Danio rerio: one gene and its partners. The protein of the gene in region 1 purifies or fractionates together with the protein of each later gene. This does not show direct contact. Links are inferred from orthologs where the notes say so. Each region holds a gene or a part of one and is shown in the gene's direction. Other genes may lie near its edges. The genes, in order: dnajc7, mlf2, vps13c, pld2 and dnajb1b.

The links.
Region 2: the proteins of dnajc7 (region 1) and mlf2 purify together in Homo sapiens (affinity purification with mass spectrometry; 3 studies listed by BioGRID and IntAct, with this or other methods). This does not show direct contact. The link is inferred for Danio rerio from reciprocal best matches to the Homo sapiens genes DNAJC7 and MLF2.
Region 3: the proteins of dnajc7 (region 1) and vps13c purify together in Homo sapiens (co-immunoprecipitation; 4 studies listed by BioGRID and IntAct, counting the BioPlex papers as one, with this or other methods). This does not show direct contact. The link is inferred for Danio rerio from reciprocal best matches to the Homo sapiens genes DNAJC7 and VPS13C.
Region 4: the proteins of dnajc7 (region 1) and pld2 purify together in Homo sapiens (affinity purification with mass spectrometry; 3 studies listed by BioGRID and IntAct, counting the BioPlex papers as one, with this or other methods). This does not show direct contact. The link is inferred for Danio rerio from reciprocal best matches to the Homo sapiens genes DNAJC7 and PLD2.
Region 5: the proteins of dnajc7 (region 1) and dnajb1b purify together in Homo sapiens (affinity purification with mass spectrometry; 3 studies listed by BioGRID and IntAct, with this or other methods). This does not show direct contact. The link is inferred for Danio rerio from reciprocal best matches to the Homo sapiens genes DNAJC7 and DNAJB1.

Annotation. Positions count from the first base shown.
Region 1 is NC_133178.1:16,684,341-16,688,388, forward strand, and holds part of dnajc7 (dnaJ homolog subfamily C member 7), read left to right. Parts: intron 1-493; coding exon 494-643; intron 644-2,872; coding exon 2,873-2,935; intron 2,936-4,048. UniProt on the Homo sapiens protein: Acts as a co-chaperone regulating the molecular chaperones HSP70 and HSP90 in folding of steroid receptors, such as the glucocorticoid receptor and the progesterone receptor.
Region 2 is NC_133191.1:35,023,060-35,026,976, forward strand, and holds part of mlf2 (myeloid leukemia factor 2), read left to right. Parts: intron 1-2,085; coding exon 2,086-2,245; intron 2,246-2,362; coding exon 2,363-2,577; 3' UTR 2,578-2,580; intron 2,581-3,917.
Region 3 is NC_133182.1:29,745,141-29,749,962, reverse strand, and holds the start of vps13c (intermembrane lipid transfer protein VPS13C), read left to right. Parts: upstream 1-1,756; 5' UTR 1,757-1,890; coding exon 1,891-1,990; intron 1,991-4,822. UniProt on the Homo sapiens protein: Mediates the transfer of lipids between membranes at organelle contact sites. Necessary for proper mitochondrial function and maintenance of mitochondrial transmembrane potential.
Region 4 is NC_133180.1:39,308,569-39,312,616, reverse strand, and holds part of pld2 (phospholipase D2), read left to right. Parts: intron 1-3,115; coding exon 3,116-3,234; intron 3,235-3,340; coding exon 3,341-3,454; intron 3,455-3,542; coding exon 3,543-3,647; intron 3,648-4,048.
Region 5 is NC_133176.1:59,235,195-59,239,739, reverse strand, and holds the start of dnajb1b (dnaJ homolog subfamily B member 1b), read left to right. Parts: upstream 1-1,337; 5' UTR 1,338-1,714; coding exon 1,715-1,934; intron 1,935-2,716; coding exon 2,717-3,285; intron 3,286-4,545. UniProt on the Homo sapiens protein: Interacts with HSP70 and can stimulate its ATPase activity. Stimulates the association between HSC70 and HIP. Negatively regulates heat shock-induced HSF1 transcriptional activity during the attenuation and recovery phase period of the heat shock response.

The DNA of each region.
Region 1 (4,048 bases):
GAACTACTGAGGCAAGAAATTATCCAGATATGATCCTAATAACACAATGACGGCACACAGCACTCTACCATGCATAACGTTTGTCATCATCTTGTGACAAACAGCCACATGCTATTAGGGGAAAAAAAAAAAAAAAAAGAGTCTGCTGAATGTCCTCCATTGTTGTTTATAGGCCTGTTCACATGTTGTGTGTAAACTTCAGGAAATTAAATAAAATGTAAATGCTTCCTCTCTATTCTATTACAAACATGCAGGGTTTTAAAAATTTTTTTAAACTTGTAAAAGTCATTCTTGAGCTGCAGCTGATCGCAGAGAGTTGGAACAGATCTTTTAATCCAAGTTTTTTGCAAATCCTGTTCACTTCCTGCTCATTTCCATTAAAAGTTGAGATATGTATACGACTTTTATGGTTTTCTCTTGGCTAGAATGGATTTGATTTGAACTTAGTAGGCATGGTATACGCTACAAAGTAAGGGTCATGTGTTCTTCACAGACCGACACAGCGGTGCGAGCGCTGAGGTGCAGAAAGAGGAAGAGAAGAAGTTTAAAGAGGTCGGCGAGGCCTTCACTGTGCTCTCCGACCCCAAAAAGAAGACACGATATGACAGCGGCCACGACCTGGAGGACGATGACATGAACATGGGTTTGTCCCTTTCACACTTCCATTCTCACACACTTTCTCTTTCTGTCAGCACTATTTCAATATGGAAGATGATTTTCACAAAAATTAAACTTCATCCATCATTTACTCACCCTCGAGTTGTTCCTATTTTTTTTTTTTTGTTCTGCTAAAAAACAAACTATATACAAGATATTTGGAAGAAAGTCAGTAACAACAGATCTTCTCGCCATTTACTCCCATACTGTTTATTTTCTATCTATCGCAGTAAACGTGTTGCTAGCTCTGTTTGGTTACTGACATTTTTCAAAATATCATTTGTCCAAAATCAAACAAAAAGTGCTCAGGGGTAGCTTAAATTATGTGTCTGTGCTACAACAAAAATCAGTCCAAGGCACTAGAAAAATGTGGAAAATTTAAAAGCCATGTAAATAAAGGCTTTATCCCTAAACCTACATGTTACGGCAAGGAACTGCTTTCATCGGGGCATGATCAGGGGCATCTAGAGCCTCTTTTGAGTGCTATGGTCACATGACTCATTTTAAATATCTCAACAACACTCAAATAATATAACAAGAGGTCAACTATCATCATTACTTCAGCATTGATAGAGGGGGAAATAAATATGCCTATATACATGCACAGATATACACATGCTTATAATTTCACTTTTACCTGTCATTTTAATCAAAGACTTTACTTTAAGTTTCACCTTTTCAACATTACGTCTTTTATTTATAACATCTATAGCAACACTAATATTAACTTTAAATATTATAAGTCTAATGTTTTTAAATAGACAACATATGACGCTCCGTTTACTTGACAAATTTAATGATTTGCATATTCATGTTGTTGACGCCAAATTCTGACCCTACCATACGAATGTCACAGCAGAAATCGAGACTCATCAGACCAGGCAACCTTTTTCCAATCTTCTATTGTCCAATTTTGGTGAGCCTGTGCGAATTGTAGCCTCAGTTTCCTGTTCTTAGCTGACAGGAGTGGCACTCGGTGTGGTCTTCTGTCCCTTCAGAGATGCTCTTCTGCATACCTCTGTTGTAACAAGTGGTTATTTGAGTGTCTGTTGTCTTTCTATCAGCTCGAACTAGTCTGGCCATTCTCCTCTGGCATCAACAAGGCATTTACGCCCACAGAACTGCCGCTTTTTGCACCTTTTTCTGTATACCCTAGAGATGGTTGTTCGTGAAAATCCCAGTAGATTAGCAGTTTCTGAAATACTCAGATCGGACACATTTCTTCACCATTCTGATGCTCTGTTTAAACTGCTGCAGATTGAGTTGCTGCATTGTGATTGGCTGATTAGAAATTTGCATTATCGAGCAATTGGACAGGTGGCCTAACAAAGTGGCCAGTAAGTGTACTCCAGTAGTAGACTATTTCAGACGATTAAAGACAGCAAAACAGAACAATCTTCTAGCGGTTTACCAAATAAAGTGACAGGTGAATGTATGCAGTCATTGTTTTGTTTTTGCTATTTTCCGTATAGACTTTATCAACTAGCTTGTCATCAGAAATGTTATTTGTTTTTGGGCCCTCATTACAGTCACCTGCAGAGACAAAATAATCAGTTCCTTGTCTATTAGCATTGGAATGATGTTTTTATTGAAAGCGAATGTCATTTATGTTCTTTTAAAAGCCTAGATCTTATTGAAAGCGTCATGCCATGGCTGTGCTGAATAATCCAAGTGTCAGCTCTTGAGTAAACAGAACTTTAAAAGACTAATGCTGAGTGCAGACAACAGAGGGAATTAAATTAAGCAGTTTCATTTCCAGCATTGACTCAATCAAGGCTGTTTTTTTGAATTCACTTAAAGTTGCTCTTCAGGGCATGACTTGACTGTTTTCTTGACTCCGTTGGTTTGTTTCTGTGTCTAAGCACCAGGCTTTGGGACAATTTACACAAAAGGTTTACTGTTTTTTTGCTGAAAAGGTTAAGTGTTTTGCTTTAGAATATGTATCGGACATTTAAATGATGGGGTAATATGGGTTAAATTATGAGGGGGAGGGGGGGGTCTCTGATAAATGAAATAATTAATTAATTAAATAAATTACAAAATTCAATAAAGTGTTTACATTGTTACTTTTTTATGGTGAAATGCTCAAGTATTGGAAACCAAATGTGTAAAACCAATTACTCTCAATCTATAGTGTCAAACACAGGAAATGTATTTTAAGCTTGTTAAATGATCACGATGAATTGTTTTATGTCTCTATTTTCTTCTCTTTCAGACTTTGATGCCAACAACATCTTCAAAGCATTCTTTGGCGGCCCTGGTGGGTTTAGTTTTGAAGGTAGTATTTCATGTACTTTGTCTTCATCGTCCATAATTCACTGGTTTAGACTGTAAACCACTGAACGCTAACAAGCAAAGGTTTGGGATCAGTATGCTTTCAAAATATTTCAGACATACAAAAAATAAGAATATTAGAAATCATTTACTCTTGTCTTCAGTATTGCAGTATACTTCAGAAATCAGTCTCATACACTGATTTTCTGTCTGATATCAGTGTTGTTTATTTTTGTGTGAAAATATTTTTTTAATGAATGAAAGATTACTTAAAGAAGAGTGTTTACTTTAAACTATTTTTGTCAGTATAAGTATCTTCACTGTTATTTAATACAACTAATTATTTTTATTGGAAAAACAATCTGAACCCAAACTTTTATTTGGACGGAAATATGTTTGAAGACTCTACAAAGGGTGTGTGATATTGATCATCCACGAAAGCACTGTTATGGGATGTTTGTGCTCATATTATCAAGTTTATTACTCACTTTAGCAAAAATAAAGTGTCTGTTGAGAGCACAAAAGCTTTACTGTACGAATTCAGTCAGAATGACCATAGCTTTCGAGTTTTGAACACAAAAATATCCCTGTGGATATGGAATTATCAGTTTATTTTTTTGTTGTTGTGTTTTTATTTTTTATTATTATTATTATTTTTTTTTTTTTTGGCATCTTGATTTGACATGACAGTAAGTTGGGAGGGGGACAGGATTGGGAAAAGGTTTTATTATTAAAGAATTAATTTAGACACAATATTGTTTATTTTGTTTCGCTAATTAAAATTTCCTGAAAAAATGTATCCACTTTGAATGAAGACTGAGCCTTTGGTTGATTTAATCATAAAGATAGTGCCTTTGCATTTTGAAAAAAGGTGAAATCACGTTTTCCTAAGTGCCAAATCAAATGCGTAATTACTTCATGATCTTTATCATTAAGTGACTAGCTCTGTGCAAATTCAGACACAGCCAGTCACTTGCATAAATGAACCAGTCTTTTGAATGAATCATGTGAATGACTCAATGAATCTGTTAATCCACACAGTGGCAAAAGTTGAACTATTTTGAAAATTGACCGTGCCATACGTGCATAAACTGCTGATGGTGGCCATAGCATAGAC
Region 2 (3,917 bases), on another chromosome or scaffold:
AGGTGATCAGGACCTGACATAAAGCGTAGTGGTGTTGTATCAACCTAAAAGGTTTTGTTTTGTGGTAACAACCAGCTGGGGAAAAAACAATATAATTTAAGTAATCAGTTTCAGACTAAACAAATGTTTAAACGATACAGCACAGTCATACAACTTCAAACCACGTGAATGACTTACTAGCAGCTTCTATTTAGATCTGCAAGTTGTATTAAATATGTTGTGACATCTAAATCGGCGTAGTTTCCAACTGGTGGATAATATGAGAGTTTGTGGTTGAAGATAAACATTATGAGTTTCGATAGTAGCTTAAAAAATGCACAAAAAAAATGTAAAAAAAAAATTTTGGTGTACAATTTCATTGCAGCTAATAGAATATGACCGCTTTCTAACAAACACTGAAGCGGTTCGACTAAAAAAAATAAATGCAACACTTGCCAAAAACTCAACAAAGCAAAAACAAAATGTTGCATTGCTACAAATCCAAGGTTTGATGACGCCAAAAGAATGGTGTATGCAAAACGGTGTAAAAAGCCACTTTTCCTCTGCATGTTACGACATGATTTGGTTTGGTACAGCTTACTTTTGGGGGCTTTTCCAATGTGTTTTGTACCTAGTACTTGATACTTTTAGTAGTACCTCCTTGATGTTCCAAGCAAGTTGTTCCATTATCAAAACGTGATGTGTACACACTGCAGATCATCAATTTGTTTTGAGAGGATCGCCACTATCAGCGTCTCTGGATTTACAAAATTAGTCATATAGCAGATGCTTTTGTTCAAAGTGACTTACAATTGATTTGGGAAATGAGACACACAACCTGCTATATATAAATAGTCAGCAGCAGCCACTGCTGTTTGGTTGGTTCGCAAGGCAAACCTGTTGGTTTGTGTCAAGCGTTTGTTTATGTTGTTTACTATGATGCCACATAGAGCTGGGCGACTTGGCCTAAACCATGATCTTCATAATTAAACATTTTAACTCAGTTACGATTAATGAACCATTATTTATTTCATTCATTTATTTATTTTTTGCCTTCATAGTTCACTGACGGTTTCGTACCATAAATATGCTTACAAATCACAAGTGAGAAATTTTTGAATGAAGAGTGCATTACTTGATTTTAAAATCATAATTGACGTAAACACACACTATCTTTGATTATTTATTGAACATCAAAGTTGAACAACTGAAATTAAAACACACATTGTCTTAAACCAAGTCACATTTTTCTTATAAAGAAGTGAAAATAAATAGTTATTATTTTAAAAAATAAAACATTTGTTTTCAAAGTTTTTCATATTGAAAATAGAAAATAAGCAGTATATCTTTTAAATAAAATAACTCTTGCATATCCTGCAAATAATATTTTAAACCGTGCATTTCTTGCATCTTCGGTAAACAAATACTTTAATGTAAATAATAATTTAAATGTATTGGAAAATATGTCTCAAGGCATCTTTGGTGCACCTTTCAATTATTGTCAACGTAGTCCAAAGTAAGGCTCAAGAATGAGTCCATCGTCCTACTTGACCAGAGATCTGATGTGGCTGCAAAGTTTGGCTTACAGAGTGGAGTCACATAATCCCACATGTTGTAGGAAAAGAAATTGAAATAATTGACCTATAAAATTTAGATTGATTATAGGTTCTGAATGATGATTTCGATTAATCGCCCAGCCCTAATGTCGCAGCAGTTAATGTGGCACAAGTATACCAATAATCCCATCTGAATAAAGTGAGCTACGTTGCTCAGAACCATATGTGGACGTGCAGTGCAAACGCAGCTTTGAGCAGAGGTCAAAACACGGAGCAATGGGGAAAAGTGCCTTATTAGCAAAGCAAAATATGCATTATACAAGCTGTCAAATTTGTTTAGGAACTAATTTTTTTTGTATAGTTCTAGGTTTGTGTTAAATTTCCCTGCATGAACGCTGACCAAGCTAGGATTAAATGGATTAATTTAAATTTTGGTTTAGTCCAGACAAACCAAGAGAATGCAGGAGATGTTTTTGCACTGAAGTATCTCACAGTTGAAGGAGCACAACTGCTGAATCGCCCCTAAATGTTTTTTGAATTGTTTGTTTAGATCAGAGAGACGCGTCAAACGATGCGGGACAGTCAGAGCGGGCTGGAGCGAATGTCTATTGGGCATCACATTGGTGAGAGAGGTCATGTGATGGAGCGTTCCAGGAACCGTCTCACAGGCGATCGTGAAGAGAGGCAGGACTTCTTCAACCTGGAGGAGAGTGAGTCAAATCCCTCCTTTCTCTCTACCATTCCCCCCCTGTAACTACTTAAATTTCATCTCAGACCTTTGTGTAGAAATTCTCCCATTCACTATTGTGGAAATGGTTCTCTTTCAGGTGAGGCAGCTGCCTTTGATGAAGAGTGGAGGAGAGAGGTGGGTCGGTACCGCCCCCCTACTGCCCGCAGTTTAGATTATGGGCGTGAGCGGGGCGCAGGGGTTGGACAGCAGCTGGCCCTCACAGCACCTCCGACCTCCTCCTCCTCTCCTTCACCCCGCCACGAGTCACCACGCCACCATCCTCCTCAATCCCGTCCACGCTACGACTGGTGAACGGTATGAGTCTCACACTGCCAGAACTCAACTCATGTGTGGAGTAGAGCTGCATAATTCTCCATAAATTGAGAATTACAGCCAAGTTTTGGTTTAAAATACAATTGATTTTAACATGATTATGAATAGACATCAAAACTTATTTAAGATTATCAAAATAAATATACAATGTGCTTTTACAGACAATTTTTTTACAAAAAATGTGAGCTGTAGAAATTTTAGTTATACTTTAAAAATAAGAAAATAAGTAAATAAGCCAATAGATAGATGGAGGTAAAGAAAACAAGAAGAAAAAGCGAAACATCATACCATCCAATGTACATCTAGTCATACCTTCTCAAAGTACTAATATTGGTGACCCATTAGTCACAAAGTCTCTGAAAAGGTGAACAAAACAAAATATGATATTTTCCACATCATGTAGTAGAAGTTTTTAAAAAAATCTGATTGCTGCAGATTCAGTTGTCATATTTAAAAGAATGTCTTGAACAATTAATTTAATGACATACATTTCTTTTTTAGTCAATAGCTTTGTTTCCATCTAACCTATTTTCTCATATTTTGGAATATTGAATTTGGAAACTTATGCATGCAACTGAGTAGTAGGATACATTTTTTATCCTATTAAAAAGTGCATGAACTAGATGGAATTGTATTTTCTGAATAAATCCTAGCATGCACATCAAAAGTGATGTGTTTTTTGTTATAACAGATCATGTGATGATGATGAGCACAATGGGTCTGCATTAATGGAAAAAATAGGCGACCGACCACATTGCACAACATCTGAAATGTTGTTTCGGTCATGCTAAAATCCCTTAGCCAAAGTTTGTCATTATATTGGTTCCATATTATTACCTCTAGAACTGTCTTGAGCATCTGTGGTCACAAAGAGCATTTTCGCACACCCCAAAACCACTGTGCATTCATTGGGTTTCGTTTCTGAGTTATAAGTATATTATTGTATTCGAAAAAGAAAAAAAAAAAAAAAACACAGTGGCTTCTCCTATGGCAAAATATTTTTTTTTCTTTTAGATATATGGCTCCAGTATATCAGCATGATTTTGTTCTTTTTGACTTGTTGGATGGAAAGGGTGCTTTATTCGCAAACATTTTATGAAAAAGTAATTCACCTTTTTGGGTAGAAACATAGCTATTGACTGTTACACAAGTAGATGGTGACAAATGTAATTGGTACACTCTGCATTTGAAGCAATAAGTACATTGGTCTTTATCCTGAAAAGGACATTTGCTATTTTAATTACTATTTCACTTCTGTGGACTGTAGTGTTTATATCCAAAATACATCTCTCGGGATTTGTATTTTGCATTTTGTGTGG
Region 3 (4,822 bases), on another chromosome or scaffold:
TTTATATTTATTCGGTTTTTAAAATAATTTCAGTATATTCAATATTTGTCTACAATATAGTTTGTAAATTCATATTATCTGTCTTTCAGCAGATATATTATATAAGAGACTTGCTTTGTTTACCAAATAATGTGGATCTAACTGGATTTGCATTGTAAACATTAAATATAAGTTATAAAAGTATTATTTTTTATTTCATATATTAAGGTTTTAGTTATAATACTCCTAAAATCATACAGCATAAATCTGCAGATTTTCTACAAAATTCAGTGCAGAAATAGCTATACTCCACAGCTCTGTGATTGGCCAAAGTGCTTAGTTTGACTTTTCTGTGATCGTCTACTCTTCCCTGTTGTTCACCACCTACTTTCTGCTAAATATATTTTTTTATTATTAATTTGTTTTCTTTTAGGCTTAGTCTCTTTAACTATTGTCAATAATTCAAATGAACACAATTCAAATTCAGATTGTTTTGGCATATTATTAGCTCTATAGTATGGTAGGAAAGAAGAGCTTGTGTATTTCAATATCTAATAATTAAAGGTTTGAGGTTTAAGACAAAATGTTTGGACTTAAAACCTTCAGCACAAACACAAAAAAGCCTCTATGTGCTCAAACATCATAAGATCAACTTGTAAACAGATTTCAAGCAGACCACGTGCACCAGAAAGAGCTTGGAAACTTGTCCCTAAAAGAAAACCACAGCCAGAAGACAAATAGGAGAGTGTGACAGAAAATAAACGCTATCACAGTCACAGTCAGGTCCTTAAATCTAAATTTATGCAATCAATTTTGTATAATCAAGGCATTTTTTATTAAATTATTTAAAGCCATATAAAGTTGGTAGTGATTATTATGATTTATTATATAATGCATGTGAGAAATAAGATATGTATTCATTTTGGAGCATTTATTTAATGGATAGTTCACCCAGCATTGAAAATTAAGTCATAATTTTCTCATCCTGTACTTGTTTGAGTTCCTTTTTTCTGTTGAACACAAAAGAAGTTAGTAGGAATAACATAAACGGTGGAAATCAACGGTTTCAAGTTTATAACAATTTTCTAAATATTTTCTTTTGTGTTCAGCTGAAAAAGGAAACCCATAAAGGTTTGGAACCATGTGAGGGTGAGTAAATGATAAATACATTTTCATTTGGGGGTAAAATATCCTTTTAATATTTTCAAAAATGAATGAATTATGGGCAACGTGGTGGCGCAGTAGGTAGTGCTGTCGCCTCACAGCAAGAAGGTCGCTAGTTTGAGCCTCGACTGGGTCAGTTGGCATTTCTGTGTGGAATTTGCATGTTCTCCTTATTATAATGTTCGCGTGGGTTTCTTGTATTTTTAATACAACAACAACAGAAAGAGAAACTTAAATAACTTTTAATAATTTCCACCACAAATGACATACAAATAACAAACCATAATGCTAAATATTAAAACCATATTTTAATGTTTTCTTTTATAATTTGGGACATATATAACGTATATCATCAAACGTGTATCTTCAGTACATACATTTACATCTTGGTAAACTATAACTTAAATGTATTATCCTTAAGGGAAAACAACTAAAGCAAACAGTAATGATATATCTTGCACATAAATCAATTAATCAAATATTCTAAAGAGTTTCTCATTTGGTAAACAAATGACTATGAGTTACCTCACCACACTTTCGCTTTGTGATCCACGTTCTTGTATCAACTACTCAGCCTGTTAATGATAAGTGTTCGGAGACCCCTGGCGCAGACAGTGTGAGTGGATCGCCGGATGAACCGATCTCGTGAACGCCTGTCACACTGCGAGGGAAGTAACCTTAGCAAATGCGGATTGTGTCATTTTAGCGTGTTTTCTGCGACAGGGTCGCTGTCGTTCTCGACTCATCATGGTCTTCGAGTCTTTAGTCAGTGATCTTTTAAACAGGTTTATTGGAGATTATGTGGAAAACCTGGACAAGTCGCAGCTCAAGATTGGCATATGGGGAGGTAAGCGTATATTCGTCAAACTGCCTGTAAACATCAGTGCAAACAAACGCGTTTCCCTCTCTGCGAATTATTGTTTATTACAAAATGTCATGTGTCGATGTTCAGTGCACGTTAATACGGACATTTTTTACAGTGTCCACAAATGACTATCGGTCATAATTGTTTCTGTTCTGTAAGATTGGCAGGCTGTTAAGTTGCTTGCTTTCTGAGGCGAGGAATATAACTGTTAACGTTATTTACATTGTTTGCTTTTAATATTTGTAGTGTTTCCCGCCCTAACTGTGTAAAAAAAAGAGCTGTCATGGTCATTACTCAAGTTCCTGCTTGCATTAGATAAATGAAACGATTGTCTTCTTGATAAGACAAACAGAAAATGGTTCAAGACGATTAGCTGAGCTGCTGAATGCAAGCAGTCTGTATTGTAGGCTTGTTTTGTTTGTTTTGTTGTGATGAATGTGTGCAAGTAAAGCTCAAGGTGAAGTGGACCACACCTTGAGGAACAACAAAATAAATGCCATACAATTCTCTATGAATTTCTGTGCTGCACACTTACCCACTTAATCTGGGAATTAAGTTCTGGAGCCATTAGAAACAGCTGCTAAATATCACTGAAACGCTTCTAAATAACTGCTTGAAAAAGCCTGATGCAGGATATTATTGCAGATTTATCCCATTGCTCCTCTGACCCACACTATTAATGTTCTTATTTTAGAGATACACAGTGTCAAACATTTTACATTAGAATTATTTGTTATATATTATTTTGGGGAATAAAAGGAATTTTATGCACTTCTTAACTTATGCAACTGTAATATTTGTAATAAATGAATCAAATTCATTCTTTCATTCATTTTCCTTCAACTTAGTCCCTTTATTAATCAAAGGTCGCCACAGCGAAATGAACCGCCAACTTATCCAGCATATTTTTTACACAGCAGATGCCCTTCCAGCTGTAACCCAGTACTGAGAAACATTCATACAGTACACGCTCAAACATACACATGGACTATGGCCAATATAGTTTATTCAGTTCACCTATAGCGCATGTCTTTGGACTGTGGGGGAAACCGGAGCACTCGGAGGAAACTTACGTCAACACAGGGAGAACATGCAAACTCCACACAGAAATGCCAACTTTTCCACCTGGGAATGTGTCTTTGTGAGGTGACTGTTAAGTCACAGTGTCGCCCATGAATCAAATGAGTTAGCTATAATAAATAAACAAACAATATTGGTAATAACTGTTTATTATTGCTCTATGCGAAATACATATATTACTATATGAATTTAATTTCAGCAGATGATTTAATAGCTCTAATTGGAAAGATTTCTTTAATATAGATCGACTGGAATGATCAAGTCTTTTTCTGTGCAGTGCATCAGCATAAAATTTCACACATAACAAGCATTTATAAATACATCAGAGCAAAAATAAAAGCAAAATAAACAGTGCTTTATGGTTTTATGGTGTCAAACTGTATACAGGATACACAAATTGAGCAATTAAATGTAAAATAATACGGTCATCATTTTATAAATGATTAAAATAGTTTTTTTTTTGTTTTAAATATCTTTGTCTTTTCATCTGAATCTAATCCTGCGACTATTGCAGATACACAAACTCCGATATGGATTCTTAAACGATATATTGTTCAGCCCTACTCTGGGATATGACCCTCTGAATGTCCCATGAATTCTATACTTATGGTTAATGTTTATTTTTTGTGCACCATTTACTGTCAGCGTTTGTTTGTTTATATGCAAATATGGCTGTTTGCTCTGTTTATCTTCTAGTTAGTATACTTTAATTGGAGTCACATATCAAACTTTCTGATGTGTCATTGTAGTCACTTAGCTGGATGTTTCATGGCTGAAACAACTCCACCTAGATTCTTTAATTTACTGTAAAATTAAAAGGAGTGTTCGAAGCCATGCTCATTTAAATAACCAAAATCCTTTGGATTAAAAATAGGTTCACCTTTTCTCTTTGGTAAATGCATGTTGTATTTCAAATTATGATTGATACAGCTCTGTGCTTCCAATTTATCCTGACATCGTAATAAACAAAAAATCAAATTAGATCCTCCAATGAAAATGAAGGACTTCTTGATGGTGTATTATGCAGGATTTCTTCATTCATTGTGTCTGCTAAAACTTCACCCCTGCAACATAATTTTCTTTTATAATGCTCATGTCTCAATATCAAATCTAGGGATGCTCCGATACCATTTTTTTAAATCAGTCTGATCCTGATACCAAAATTCTGAATATTGACCGATACAGATCCAATCCCGATACTGTGGCTCTTTTTTTACGTAATGCTGTTTCTATAGTTCTGCTAATAAACTCTAATAATATATCTTCATTTGTACAAAATAAACAAGAAGAACGAATTTGAGGTGAAATTCAAAACAAGGGCCGCTTATATGCTTCAGCACCAAAACCCAAACAGGTCTGTTAAATAAAAAACTAATTTAAATAAAATTAAAGTGAAATATTCACTGTTTCAGAAAAGTCTATATTAGGCTAAATAATGTATTGTTAATGACAATCCATATTGAGCCTGTTAGTTTCATTTTTATTAACTGAATAAACTTGACCACAATGAGCTTTACGAACTATATACAGCACTGAAAGGTTTCCCCTCGGAAAAAATAAACTCAGTCGGAAGGATGAGAGAACAGAAACTCATTGTGACACTTCCAAAACAGCAGCATAAAGGGAGCAAATCAGTGCGTTGAGGATCTGTCCAATGTATTTGGTTATTGAGCCTTTTCTAATTTAAAATTTCAGTTAGGCCTACTTTGTATGAGGAGCAGGTAATAACCCTCT
Region 4 (4,048 bases), on another chromosome or scaffold:
AATCATTTTTAGACAAGGCATGTGAAAATCTTTTCAACTGAGATATTCAGAAAAAAATCCTTAGCATTTAGCCCTGTATCTATAATGTTTCAAAAAGTCTAAAATGTCATTCCTAATGTCTTAAAAATGTCTTTAAAAGTCTTAAATTTGACTTGGTGAAACTGGCAGAAACCCTGGAGATTCATTCATTCAACGGAATGAACCGCCAACTTATCCAGCATATGTTTTTACTCAGCGGATGCCCTTCCAGCTGCAACCCATCTCTGGGAAACATCCATACACACTCATTCGCACTCATAAACTACGCACAAATTGGCCTACCCAATTCACCTGCACCGCATGTCTTTGGACTGTGGGAGAAACCGAAGCACCCGGAGGAAACAAACGCGAACGCAAGGAGAACATGCAAACTCCACACAGAAATGCCAACTAACCCAGCTGAGGCTCGAACCTTTAAGGATGGCTCTAGCCAGGCTCTAGCATTTAAGGAAGCTCATTTCGGCTAATTTTGCTAACCAACAACTGCCGCTCGTTAACCAAATATTAACCGTTAACTGTTCAGATAAATATTTAATTAAATTTTTTTTTTTTAATTTTGACGTGTCTATTTTGTGTGACACAATAAATATTATTTTAAAATACTGATTTATTTTAACATGCAAACATATTAACAACAGAACACCTTCAAGCACCTGCAGTGTTTCCAACAGCACAGAAATTAGGAATAAACTAAATACAAAGAGTAAAGTAATTAGTCCTGACCTAGATATATTTCACTTAAATTACAAACTTAGATAAAAAAAAATTAAAACACTGACTGAATCATTTTTAAGAAACAGCATGATGGTTTTTCCCATGATGTTTAAAAAAAATACAAATAAATAAATTTGCAGGCTACCTCAAATCTATCGCTCTACAGAAAATATGCATTTAATTAATGCTCCACTGTTAATAAATCACAAACCTCTGTCAACATTTTTAATAGAAGTCATTATTTTAAAGATTATGTCTTGAGCATCTGGTTTCATCTTAGAGCTTGTGTGCTTTTATTTTCTCTCTCACTCGTGGTTCATGTGCGCGCTGCATGTGATAATAGACAATGACAAAGCTCATATGTTGGCTTTTTGTAAAGTATAGGCTACTATAGCATATAACAATTTTGTTTTAATTTGGTGTGGAGTTATCAATATGCATGAAGTTATTGCATGCTATGAAGGCTGTTTTAACAATTGATATTTTATAAGAACTATTAATAACTGTAATTTTCCAAATGGAAAAAAGGTTGGTTTGTTGGTTGGACACTAAATCATCACAACTGTAGCCTATTTGTTGTGTTCCTAAGAGGTGCCGGAGCGCACTCTGATGAGAGAAAATTCCAACACTCCAACTTATGACCGGCTTGTTTCCAAAGCAGCGCACATTTTAGAAAGTTTTGTTTTGTGCTTCTTTCTCCAATTGTGCAAATGAACAGAAGTGTTTATGAGGCAGATCCAGGACCGAGGCAATCAGCATCAGTGCTGGTTTGGCATCAACTCGTCTGTGTCAAACTGTGACCAGCAATATCCTTCTTTCATCTTGCTAAATATATCTGTTGTGTTTGCACCTGTTAGCATCCCGTGAGTTAACAAATACGTGTTGCACAATTATGCAACTAATCAAAAAATATACAGTTAAATTCAAAATTATTAAACCCACCCACCCCCTGATTTTTTTTGTTAATATTTCCCAAATTATGTTTAACAGAGCAAGGAAATTTTCACAGTATACCTAAAAATATATTTGTTTCTGCAGAAAGTCTTATTTATTTGATTTTGGCTAGCATAAGAGCATAAAAGTTTTTTTTTTTTTTTACTATTTTAAGGTTAAATTTATTAGCCCCTTTAAGCTATATATTATTTTTCAATAGTCTAAAGAAAAAAAACATCATTATACAATAACTTGCCTTAACTTAATTAACCTAGTTAATCGATAAAACTTAATTAACCTAGTTAAGCCTTTAAATGTCACTTTAAGCTGTATAGAAGTAGCTTGAAAAACATCTAGTCAAATAATATGTGCTGTCATCATAGCAATGATAAATTAGTTATTAGTAGGGCCAGACTGAATCTGCGGACATTTTTTGTTATTTCTGTTGCAATTTTGGTAAAAATCTGTGGATTTCTGCAGAATTATTTTGGGAGTATCATGACTAAAACCTTAATATGTGAAATAAAAAAATATTATCTTCTTAACTTGTATTTTTTTGTAAACAAAGAAAGTCTTTCATATAATATATCTACTAAAAGACAGAAAATATTACTTTACAAACTGTATTGTACATAGATCGAATGAACATTTTCATATTAGTCAATAATATTACTGAAAATAATTAAAAAACTGAATAAATATAGATTTACACACATTTACTCAAGTAAATAAACAGATTTAATGATGGGCTAAAAATCTGCAGAAAATCTGCCAAATTCTGCACCCACAGATTCCGTGTGGGCCTAGTTATTAGAAATGAGTTCTTAAAACTATTATGTTTAGAAAAGTGTTAAAAAAAATCTGCTCTCCGTTAAACAGAAATTGGGAAAAAAAACAACAAACAATAATAATTCAGGAGGGCTAATAATTTTGACTTCAACTGTAGAGATAAATACATTTTTAATCGTTTAACTGATGCCATTAAACGGTTAAAAATGCACCCTTTCGGTTAACAGTGAATTGGTTATTATGAGCATCCCTACTTGCAATGTTTATAGAAACATATGTCAATTAAGTTTTAGCTTTGCCCAAGTCATTTGACTAATAATATACTAACAGAAATGTTGTTGTTTAAATATTTGTATTGTATTATATTATTTTAGATTGTATTATATTATATTATAATTACATTATATATATATATATATATATATATATAATATTACATTTTAAACTTATTATCATAGGCTGATTATTGTTTATTTTTTCAGGATTCTTTGGTATATAAAAAGTTAGATGTTAAAAAGAAGAGCTATTAGTTATTATTACTTAGTTGCAGGAATAAATAGTTTGGTTTTAACAAGAACAAATGTTGGGAAATGTCCAATGTGGCTTTAACAGTAATGTAGCTTTTGCTTTTGTTTCTTAGACAATGTTGACAGAACTCAGGTGCCACGCATCCCCTGGCGAGACCTGGGTGCAGCGCATCATGGAAAAGCAGCCAGAGATCTGGCACGACATTTCATCCAGCGCTGGAACTTCACTAAGGTTGGAAATTTTAAAAAATAATAACTTTTAAATTTTTTTTCTTTTTCACACTACAAACTTTTACCAGTTTTTTTACACATTGCCTATTTTCTGTGTCAATTAAAAGATTTTTAAGAACAAGTATAAGGATGATTTCTACCCATATCTCCTGCCAAAATCTCACTGCACATCAGACACACTGCCATTCAGCATCCCCGGTGCAACAAAAGCCTCTGTACAGGTACACACGTGTCCCCATTCTTTCATTCCCTTTCCCCGAAATGTCATTAATCTTGTCCGTCATCTATTTGTTTTTTCTTTTATTCCAGGTTCTTCGTTCAGTTGATCGCTGGTCTGCTGGCACATGTGAACACTCAATCCTCAATGCTTATGTGCATGTTATTGAGAACAGCCAGCATTACATTTATCTAGAGGTAACAGCCGCCCTGTGACCTTACAGAAAGCATTTGCTTCTGACTCATAAGACTCAGCGCACACACAGCTGAACAGACACTGCGCTTTGTTCACACACAGAGTCTCAGTGTTGTGGAGTTGTTTGCAGTGTTTTCTCCCACTAGGATCATGTGATTGCACTGCATTCAGCTGGCAGCACACAATAGCTCTCTGCTTTGGCCTCATGCTCAGACACAGGGTCCTAATGCAAGTCAGCTAAGCCTGAGAGAACATAACACGTGCTTCAGGAGGAAATGTTTATGTCCATGCAGAAATAAGGATAACACACCGAATGCTAAATCTTCACATTTGAGGATTTAAAAAAATACAGTGTTGAAAAGTACTAGTGTTAACCCCAATTTATACTTCTGCATTGAGTGCA
Region 5 (4,545 bases), on another chromosome or scaffold:
AAGGCCCTTAAACAATGAATAAATGCACTACAGAATGTTACGTTTTCACTCACGCACAAATTGCATGGAAACGCATCAGGTTTTTACAGTGTAGTACTCACTACTCCTGAGTATTTTTCTAAGGTCTACTTTTTACTCATAGTTTGAGTAATATTTACAACAGATACATTTACTCTACTTGCACTACATTTTTGGCCAAGTAATGGTACTTTTACCTGGGTTAGATTTTTTCAGTATTTTTTCCACCACTGCTTATTAGTACATTTACATTTATGAATCAAAATTTTGTTAACAACATAAGCAAATGATTAAAATAAAACCAATTTTCCTCTTGACTAGGGTAGACAGTAAAGCCCAAAAGTACATTTTCCCACAACAATAAGAGAGGTTTAGAAAACTAAAATTTGTTATTGTGTGTATATATATATATATATATATATATATATATATATATATATATATATATATATATATATATATATATATATATAACAAGTACTCAGCATTAATATTTTTATCCTTTACTCAGTGAATATAAGCAATAATAATAATAATAATATTTGGTGCATATAAACAAAACAGATTTATGAAACGGATATATTTATTTAAAAATTATTTTATCCACCAAACATATTTAGAAATTAAAAAACAATACTATTAAATTCAAGCAAAATATTACAAAAACAAAAAAAAACTACAACCTACAAAATTTCAACCAAATTTTTATTTATTTTTTTTGCTTCTCTTCTCATTAAAATTTGTATTTAATATTTTTCTATAACATGTTAATATGGGTGAACTAGTTTTTGGTCCGTTACCGAAAGTTATTTTGTTAGATTGGTCCAGATTTGACTTCAGTACTGACTAAACTAATGTATATGCACAAATATAATATTGTAAACGTATTAAAATATTAAAAAACATGAATTTAAAAATGAATTTAAAAGATAAGATTTGTTAAGGGGTGTACTAATGTATGCTGAGCACTGTTTGTACACACACACACACACACACGCACACACGCGCGCACACACACACACACACACACACACACACACACACACACACACACACACAATCCATTCAATATAATAATAATAAAATATACTTCCTAATAATTTCCACTTAACATTTAATGAAACATAAGATTTTTTAAAAGGTAGATGATTTAATATTATAAAGATATAATTATAACAATAATAGTACAGTTAAAACATGAGAATCATCATTGGTCTAAAATAGCATCTTCCCTGGACAGAGTTTGTAGGTCACTCGGTCAGGAATGTAAGGGGATTATGCAAATATAAATGACGACATACGAAATCCAGCCGAGAAGCGCCCGTTATGGCGTCACACAGGCCTGTTTATGTTTGAGTACATCATAGTTTGATAGAGAAACGCAGCTGTAGTTTCTTCTGGTTTCGGTTTTGCCCGTTTGCTGCAGCAGCTGTGCGGGTGGAGCAGATCTGCCACGTGGTCCAGGTCCAGGGGTGTGGAAACAACCAGAGACTTTGAGAATTTTCTAGAACTTTCTTTACGGTTTTAAATAGGGGGAACCACAGAGCGGCAGGAGCATAAAAGACCGCAAGGGGACGAGACGACACCTCTGCAAAGATTAGTTTCAGGTTGGTTTGAAAACAAACAGGCTAGCAACACTAGTCTGAACCGCAGTTTTTCTTTCGGAGAATATACATTTAAGAAACACGGAAGCCTAATGGTGAAGATGGGGAAAGATTATTACAGCGTTTTGGGGATTCAGAAAGGCGCTTCTGACGATGAAATTAAAAAAGCGTATCGCAAACAAGCGCTGAAATACCATCCGGACAAAAACAAGTCAGCCGGAGCCGAGGAAAAGTTCAAGGAGATCGCGGAAGCATACGACGTGCTGAGTGACCCGAAAAAGAAAGACATCTACGACAGATTTGGCGAAGAAGGTGAGTAAAAATATGCAAACATTTGTAACTGTGGCTCTGTTCCACGACGCAAATATGAATAAGAAGAGTTTTAAGAGGGATTATGAGCCTTTACTAATAAGATATGTTGTTTAAAGTACAAACTATTGTGTTCGTGTTTGTTTTCTTCTAGTCACGTTTGAGACAAGAGAGATAGATTAGATTACTGACTGGCTGAATCAGTTTAATCTATGATGTTACGTGGTCCTGGGCTGCTTTCGACGCACTCTACACTACTCAAACGTTTGAATTAGAGATAAGTCAATCTGCTGAATCTGTGATAGTGAAGTTTTATTTTGTAAAAATAAGTAAACGAGATCCGATCAGCAATGCTGCATTCTGATTGGCTGCTTGTGCGGGACATTCTAGAGCGTCGAGCGCTTGCTGGAAGATTCTGATAGTCACGTGGTGCGAAGAGGCAGAGCGTTTGAGTTCCGTCAATAGTTCTGTACCTGTTCAGCTTTAAACAATCTTAAATGGGTTTGCACATTCCAGAACATTTTAAAACGACTAGCACTTAAATATAAATATTTACTAATAGAAAATCTATCAAAAGGAACCTTTAGATATTTTTGGAGATACAAGTTAAGATGAATACAAACCTCCAGTCCTTTTACCAGTATGTGTAGTTGAGTAATCAAAATGATCAGTGGTTCTATGCTAAATAATCAACATTTATATGAACTATTAAATTAATCTTGAAATTTGAGTGTTGTATTTTTGTTTAAAGATTGCAATTTGATTTATTTGTGTGCCATTTGCAGGACTGAAGGGAGGTGCTCCTGGAGGAGGTGGTGGTGGTGGAAATTACACATACACTTTCCAAGGAGATCCTCATGCGATGTTCTCAGAGTTCTTCGGAGGGCGAAATCCTTTCGAACATATTTTTGGACATAATGGCGGTATGGATGAGAACATGGAAACTGATGACCCGTTTGCTTCTTTTGGTATGGGTGGCATTGGTGGTTTCCCTCGCTCCTTTACCACACATAGTCACGGTGGAAGAATGGAGAGAAAACAAGACCCTGCAGTGATCCACGACCTCCGTGTCAGTCTAGATGAAGTGTTCACTGGCTGCACCAAGAAGATGAAGATCTCACGCAAGCGCCTGAACCCCGATGGACGAACAACACGCTCAGAGGACAAGATTCTGACAGTGGAGGTGAAAAAAGGCTGGAAGGAAGGAACCAAGATAACCTTCCCCAGGGAAGGCGACGAGACGCCGTCAAATATCCCTGCAGATGTGGTGTTTGTGTTGAAGGATAAACCGCATCCGGTGTACAAACGAGATGGATCGGACATCATTTATCCTGCAAAAATTACTCTCAAAGAGGTGAGATGATTTCTATGATATTGAAGAAATATTCAATAGCATGCTAAATAATTTTATAGGCCACTAGATATTTGAAATAACCAACATGTTTTATACCATTTCAAAAAATGTAACTTCTGAAAGCAAACACACCATTAAGGAACATCAAAGATCAATCAGCAAAATCAAAAACACTTGAAACAGACAGGAGAAAATTCTTGCCTGTTTTGACTCTTGTATCTGAACATGGCTTGGTTGCTTGTTCATACTGAAAGTTACACATTTTTGTACAAGAAAACTAAGACGTTCACTTTCCTTGGTTTCCGAAATGCACATTAGCATGTAAATACTAGGGATGCACCGAAAATGGTTTTTGGGCTGATATCGATAGCCAATAAATCTTAGATTTGAAGGCCGATAACTGATGTATTAGCTGATGAATATAAATATTTTAAAATGTTATATTTTTGCACAGTGAACCACTGATTTTATTTAAAAAAAAAACTTCATAAAAGTTTGAACTGATCTAAAAATAGCCTTCTTAAAGCAAAAAAAGTAATAATTTCAAAATTGCAAGGTGATTATATAAACCTATTCACACTTTCACATAAATCATTTCCTTTTTTCCACATAGCAAATTTACATGCAACTTGACTGTTGCATAAAAATAATAGGTTAAATGACAACTAGATTTAATTAACAAACAAGTTAAACATTTTAAATAAAATGAAAACGAAAAAGTACTAAGTACTTAAACCAGCTCAAATGTCAAATGAAAAGTATTACATATTTGTACAATTGTAAGTCATTTAATACTTTTATAACCGCGCTCCACACTTAAAAGCAGGCAGTTCTGTACAAGTACAAAATTAATTGGCTTAAAGATATCAGCCTAATTTTGAAATTGGAATGATAACGATAACATTATTAATAGCATTTTTCAGCAGATAACGATATGGCTGCAGATACATCGTCTAGGCATGGGCTGATATAAGATTCTGACGGTATGATACCTTGGATCAAAATATCACGGTTTTACGGTGTTGTGATTACTGCTCTAGAATATATTCCTTTTTAAATGTCTGGGTAAACAACAAAAACTTTTTTCCCTTTTGATCACACTATATTTTATTTTGAGAAACCTTTAAAATATTTAGGAGCAGTAAAAGTGTCAGGCTTAATGAACTATTGAATTTAGCTGTCTCCGTTTTTTTTTTTTCAAATCAATCATTCTGCTGGAGATATTGTTGTCCTAAAAAACGTAAATAAATAAATTTACAC